Linked DNA regions of Macaca mulatta. The protein of the gene in region 2 purifies or fractionates together with the protein of the main gene of each other region. This does not show direct contact. Links are inferred from orthologs where the notes say so. Each region holds a gene or a part of one and is shown on either strand. Other genes may lie near its edges.

Region 1 (3,569 bases), on a different chromosome or scaffold from region 2:
TCTGCATAGCTAAGGCTCTTCCATTCTTTAAAGTGCAGCTCGACTCTTCTTGAAAGTTTTCCCCATACACTCTGAGCCCATAGCCTTGTATGCAAGTCATCACTGGAGTTAATAGTTGCAAGAAACGACTTCTTGTTCCTGCTGTGCCTCTTACACGCTTTGTGACCTTGGCCATGGCCCTTAACCTCTCTGGGCCTGTGCATGCCTCTCAGATGTGGGGCAGATATCCCAGGGCTGCACGAGGGAGATAACACCACTGAGGGTGTGGGGGAACTAGAAAATGCTACAAAGAAGGGAGTCATGTGCATCTTCTCCTATGGGATCTTCTGTGATTTTTTTTCTTTCTTTCTTTTTTTCCACTCTGGACCATTTTCTTTTTTTTCTTTCTTTTTTTTTTTTTCTGAGATGGAGTCTTGCTCTGTTGCCCAGGCTAGAGTGCAGTGGCGCAATCTCAGCTCACTGCAACCTCTGCCTCCTGAGTAGCTGGGATTTACAGGCATACGCCACCACAGCCGGCTAATTTTTGTATTTTTAGTAGAGACAGGGTTTCAGCATGTTGGTCAGGCTGGTCTTAAACTCCTGACCTCGTGATCCGCCCGCCTCGGCCTCCCAAAGTGCTGGGATTACAGGCGTGAGCCACCGTGCCCGGCCTACTCTGGGCCATTTTATTGGCAGTTTCTATTCCACCCATGGCAGATGCCTCATCTTTCCTTTTTTTTGAGACGGAGTCTTGTTCTGTCGCCCAGGCTGGAGTGCAATGGCGTGATCTTGGCTCACTGCAACCTCCGTCTCCTGGGTTGAAGCAATTCTTTGGCCTCAGCCTCCCAAGTAGCTGGGATTACAGGTGCCTGCTACCATGCCCAGCTAATTTTTGTATTTTTAGTAGAGATGGGGTTTCACTATGTTGGCCAGGCTGGTCTTGAACTCCGGACCTTGTGATCCACCTGCCTCAGCCTCCCGAAGTGCTGGGATTACAGGCATGAGCCATCGTGCCAGGCCTTCATCTTTCCCTTTTAGTGATGCTATGTGTCCAGCCGGGCACCCCACTTGCCTGAATTTTTTTAAAAGACTGTGTCTGGCTCTGTGACCCAGGCTAGTTTGCAGTGGCACAGTCACAGCTCACTGCAGCCTTGAACTTCTGGGCTCAAGTGATCCTCCTGCCTCAGCTTCCTGATGAGCTGGGAATACAGGGGTGCACCATCACGCCCAGCTAATTTTTAGCTTTTTTTTTTTTTTTTTTTTTAAGAGATGGGGTCTGGCTATGTTACCCAGGCTGGTCTGGAACTGCTGGCCTGAAGCCTCCACTTCCCAAGGTGCTGGGATTACAGGCGTGAGCCATTGCACCCAAATGCAAAGTTTCAAAGCCAATCAGTGGCAGAGCTGGGACTGGGGTCCGGACTGGGGCCCAGGCTGAGCCTGAGGACGCTGCCACCACAGTGTCGTGACTCTGGGCCGACCAAAAGCTCCTGTGTAGGAGATGCTGGACCAAGTCGGGGGATGGTCGGGTCTTCCCAGCAAGGTGGTTGAGCTGAGGGCACAGGTGGGGTCCCCAACCTCTCTCCTGCTCTTAGTGCCTACGATGATTACCTACTCACCAAAGTGTGATCTTGGCCAAGACACATCCCTTTTCCCAGCCTGTTTCCTCACCTCTCCTGCAGAGGGTGCCACCATCTCAGGGTGTGACTGATGGGGGGATTCTAGGGCCTGGTGGATGGCAGGCACTTTGCGCCTGTCACAGATGTGAGCTGAGGTGGTTTCAGCACCCCTCATCCGAACCCTCAGAGTTAGGCAAGTCTGGGTTTGGGAGAGGAAGCATGGGCTGTAAACGCTAAGTGAGAGCACTCCTTGGTGAGGCTGCGGACAGCACCTGGGAACAGGAACCAAATACACTGGTTTTTCTGCCTTGGAATTTGCGAAAACTCACACTAACTGGGACAAGGAGTGACGAAGAGGGTTGCCTGGCAGGGCGGTTTGTGTTCTGCGGCCAAGAAGTTTCTGTGAGGCTTGGGGTTTTGGAAGCTCTTGGGATTCTGGAACCGCGGGGTTGGGGCTGGACAGTGAGGGGGCCTCAAGGTGTTGGCCTCAGTGTTGCCGGTGCGTCCAGCTTCACCACCTGGCCTGACTTAAGGAACTTCTAGATTATTCTGACAACAAGCAGGGCTCCCCAGGGAGTAGGATGAGTGAGCAGGGGAGGGTCTGTTTCTTCCAGGGCTGTGTCCCCGCAGCCGGACCTCACCTTCCCAGAGACGATCTTCTCATAGATCTGGATGGGCTGGTCTGCGAAGAAGGGCGGGTAGCCAGCGGCCATTTCATAGATAAGAACCCCCAGGGCCCACCAGTCCACAGCCTTGTTGTAGCCCTGGAGCAAGATGGGGGGGCACAGGGTGAGGAGGGGGCGAGCAGGAGAGCAGAGCCGGCCTCAGGGGAAGGGGAGGGCTGGGAGGCGCCTACTTTGCTCAGGATAATCTCAGGGGCCAGATACTCAGGGGTGCCGCACAAGGTCCAAGTGCGGCCCTTCACGCGCTTGGCGAAACCGAAGTCTGTCACCTGTGGGCACAAGAACAGGCAGTTGGCAGGAAGGGAGGGTCCAGGCCACGGCTTCCCCAGGGCTGCCCCTCGCCCGGCCTGGTGGGCACCTGAATGTATCCCTGCTGGTCAATGAGCAGATTCTCCGGCTTCAGGTCCCTGTAGATGAGATCCAGCGAGTGCAGATACTCGAAGGTCAGGACGATCTGGGCCGCGTAGAAACGGGCATGGGGCTCGCTGATGGGGACAGATGGAGAGGTGAATGTCAGTGGCCATGCCCCAAAATGGTCCAGCAGGTGGCCCTGCAGAGCCTTCCCCAGAGGAAGACAACTCCAGTCCAGCTGTCAGAAATGCGAGGCACCTGATTCTTAGATAGCCCGACACGGGAAATAGCCTGTAGGTCCACCCACAGGAGAATGGAATCACAGACTGAGCTATAGTCATATAATGGAATTCCACTCACCACCACCACTGCCAACAGGACAGCCCATGCATCCACTCAACAACGTGGCTGCATTTCAAACTGATTATGTTAAAGCAAAAGAAGACACAAAAGAACATGAATGATTCCATTTATATCATGTCCACGCCCAGACAAAACAAAGGCACGGTGTTTGAAGTCAGAAAGGACAACTGCCTTTGGCGGGGAGGTGACGTGTCGAGAAAGGGATTTGGCCCGGTGCGGTGTCTCATCCCTGTAATCCCAGCATTTTGGAGGGTCGAGGTGGGAGGATCACTTGAGCCCAGGAGTTCGAGACCAGCCTGGGTAACACAGGCAAGATCTCACCTCTGTGTGTATGGAGAGATGTGTGTGTGTGTGTATATATATATATTTTTTTTCAGTATTTTTTTTGAGATGGAGTCTTGCTCTGTTGCCCAGGCTGGAGTGCAGTAGCATAATCTTGGCTCACTGCAACCTTCGCCTCCTGGAAACAAGTGATTCTCTTGCCTCAGCCTCCTGAGTAGCTGGGATTACAGGCATGCACCACCACACCTGGCTAATTTTTATATTTTTAGTAGAGACAGGGTTTCACCATGTTGGT
Region 2 (3,569 bases):
GGATGCAGAAGAGCTGGAAGCAGGAACATGTATTATTACTCTTTTAGCTGATATCTTAGGAAAATCTTTTTTGTTACTCAAAATGAATATGAGTCTGATTGGCAGGCTCTTGAGTGTCTTAAGATCTCACTAAGAAATTTACTGATTGAATGGGAGCGGAGATGTAGCTACTAAAGTACAATGTAGCTACTAAAGTACAAATCATTTTGAGTTGTGTGGGACAGTCAAGGATTGCCTATAAAAGCTCATGACTTCGCATCATTTACCTTTTGAAGCATTCATCTGATGGCTGTCAAATCCTCCAAAGGTTTCTGCTCTCCGGGGCAGGGAAACAGGACCGACCGCACCTTCTTGCTCAATGGGGCTGCTGACAGTTGGCCCAAGTGTGCCTCCCAGATTTCCACTCACCAAGCCCTGAAGGATCTCCACTGGAATAAAGGAAACATGCAAAGCTGACATCTTATCTTTCAATGAGGAGAAAACAAGTTCACAGTATACATGATATGTACAAAGAGCATGATTGGAAATTTCCAAAGAGTGACTGGGTGAGTTCCTTTGCTCAGAGAAGGGTTTCAGCTCAGGGTATGTGTTTTGGTTGGACTCTACTAGAAATTTAGAGATGAGACTTTCCACTTTATATACAAGAGGCTAGGAAATTTGAAAGTGTACAGGGAAGGCAGAGTAATTTACTAGAAGTTACATGGCTTCTGGAATCATATCCAAAGCAGCCAGAAGATATTCCTTGGAAAGTAAGATGGACTGATTTGAGAACAGCAAGTAAAACAGTCAGGGTTTCTGGCTTCGCTAATATGGAGTGAGTTCAAGGGGCTAGAGTAGTCTAAGAATTTGCATCTCAACTCTGGCCCGCTAGGGTTCTTTTCTAGGGTATGGCTCACAGAAAGAAGAAAGTGGAGAAAATGGAATAAAAGTTAAACAGGAGAAAAAGAGATAAAGAAAAAGAAGGGCCAGGTGGAATAAGGGAGGGAACCAATAGCAGGAAATCTGATAAGACAAGCCATGTTAAAAAAGAAAACCTACACAAAAATGATAGACGAGTCCTATGGTGTGAGAAAATCTATATGAACCTGTAAACTTAAGACACTGATTTCACATAAAAATGAGCAATAGAAAATATTGAAGTCAAATCTCATATAAAGGGAAAACACAGGTGGAGAAAACACAGGGTCTAACTTCTCTACAGATAATAAAAGCACATCAGAAAGACATGTGCATAAAATAAGTGAGCAAAACACATTCTTGCCTCAGCCTCCCGAGGAGCTGGGACTACAGGTGCACGTCACCACACCCAGCTAATTTTTGTATTTTTAGTAGGGATGGGGTTTCACCATGTGGGCCAGGCTGGTCTTGAACTCCTGACCACCCGCCTTGGCCTCCCAAAGTGCTGGGATTATAGAAATGAGCCACCGCGCCCGGCCCCATCAAACATGCTTCAATTTATGAGTCCATAATAAAAACCATGGGTCACTTTCAGAAGATGTTCATGGTCTTAAAAACTGGTAAATAAATAGAGGGGAAAAATAATCAAGCGTTTATCCTTTTATCTTTTCTTATATGTCACGAAAAAAGAGACAACTAAATTTATGCCCTCTCAATGAAAGAACACACTATAAGGGCACAATTTACCAAAGAGATCAAGTCTGAGTGATTAATTAAGCCTCTGAGAATCCAGCTGCAAATCTGAAGGAAACAGAGGACAGAACTGTATGAATAAAATCCAAACTGTGGGAAACTCTCTAAGTCAAAAAGCTCATATTGTTCAAAGATAAATTATATGGGGAAAAAAGAAGATGGTGAGGGGAACTGTAAATTAAGAATTTTAAGATGCATATCAAAAAAACATAAGCAAAGTAGGCCGGGCGCGGTGGCTCAAGCCTATAATCCCAGCACTTTGGGAGGCCGAGACGGGTGGATCACGAGGTCAGGAGATCGAGACCATCCTGGAAAACACGGTGGAACCCCCCTCTCTACTAAAAAATTAAAAAAAAAAAAAAAACTAGCTGGGCGAGGTGGCGGGCGCTTGTAGTCCCAGCTACTTGGGAGGCTGAGGCAGGAGAATGGCGTAAACCCGGGAGGCGGAGCTTGCAGTGAGCTGAGATCCGGCCACTACACTCCAGCCTGGGTGACAGAGCGAGACTCCGTCTCAAAAAAAAAAAAAAAAAAAAAAAGCAAACTAAACTATAATGTTTAGGAGTAGGCACTTAAGTCATAAAGATATATAAGTAAGTGATTAACGGCCGGGCGTGGTGGCTCATGCCTATACTATCAGTTCTTTGAGAGGCCAAGGTGGGTGGATCACTTGAGGTCAAGAGTTTGAGACCAGCTTGGCCAACATGGTGAAACCCTGTCTCTATGAAAAATATAAAAATTAGCTGGGTGTGGTGGTGCACACCTGTAGTCCCAGCTACTTGGAAGGCTGAGGCAGGAGAATCACTTGAACCCAGGATGGGGAGGCTGCAGTGAGCTGAGATTGCACCACTGCACTCCAGCCTGGGAAACAGAGCAGCAAGATCCTGCCAAAAAAAAAAAAAAAAAAAAAAGGCATAAATGATTAATTTAAAAAAAGGCCAGAATAACTGCTCCTTTTGGAGGGAGGGAGGTATGATGGGGACAGGGCACGTGGACGAAGGCACTTCAGGGTGTCTGGCCACATTTAATTTCTTGATGTGGGTAGTGGTTAAAAGGATATTCACCTGATTATTTACTATAGTGAAGTATTTGTTTTGGGTAATTTTCTGCATTTGTGCGGCTTTATTTTAACGTAAAAAAGTAAAAACTGGCAGATAATATTAGAGTGTAAACCACTCTGGGAGGAGATGAAGGGAGGCAATGTTGAATGTTAATTACCCTCATTTATTGCACTTTTCATTAAAGGTCCTCCTTTGAGAGCGTCTTCTGTGTTGGAGCGGAAGAGAACTCTAGGGCTATGTGTCGGGGAGCAATCCTCTGGGAGGGGGGTGCTGCACTCAGCCATGTCCCGGAAAATCATCTCCTTCTCTTCCAACAAGAGTAGGATTTGTTGGTCCTTCTGTTGAAGTTGTTCTGCAGGATGGAGAAAATGATCTGTGATTTGATTGGCGTTTAGTATTACGAGATGACTAAGACATGAGCACCACCTTGTGGTAATTTATGGAAAGGGACAAGACAGGACACCCCACCCACTGCCCTTTCTTTTTCATCATGACAGCAATATTGTTTCTGTTCTGTGATTTCTATCTGGAAAACCATTCTGGATCTTTCTGGCGAGGAAATTGTGACATAACAAGTTTGCACTTTGCTTCCACTCCCTTGTCCCCTGTTTACTTCTCAGCCCACTACTCTCTAGCTTCTGTCCACTCTGCAACTGGTTTCCCAGCTCAACTTCACGATTGAATCCAATGAGGTCTTTTAGGTTGTTTTTTTCAGCATTGATGATTACTTCCTCCTTTAAAACATGTTTCCTTCTTTAACTTAGGACACTGGTTCTCTTCCTACCATTCTTTCTCAGGACACTTTACTGATCTGCCATCTGCAATGGAATCTCTTATCTGGGCTCCTGGCTTCTGTCTCAG

The links. Proteins that work in one complex are often made in the same cells at the same time.
Region 1: the proteins of AKAP13 (region 2) and PRKACA purify together in Homo sapiens (affinity purification with mass spectrometry; 3 studies listed by BioGRID and IntAct, with this or other methods). This does not show direct contact. The link is inferred for Macaca mulatta from reciprocal best matches to the Homo sapiens genes AKAP13 and PRKACA.

What each region holds. Positions count from the first base shown.
Region 1 is NC_133424.1:14,682,303-14,685,871, forward strand, and holds part of PRKACA (cAMP-dependent protein kinase catalytic subunit alpha), read right to left. Parts: intron 2,764-3,569; coding exon 2,637-2,763; intron 2,548-2,636; coding exon 2,452-2,547; intron 2,360-2,451; coding exon 2,237-2,359; intron 1-2,236.
Region 2 is NC_133412.1:75,527,199-75,530,767, reverse strand, and holds part of AKAP13 (A-kinase anchor protein 13), read right to left. Parts: intron 3,061-3,569; coding exon 2,866-3,060; intron 429-2,865; coding exon 267-428; intron 1-266. UniProt on the Homo sapiens protein: Scaffold protein that plays an important role in assembling signaling complexes downstream of several types of G protein-coupled receptors.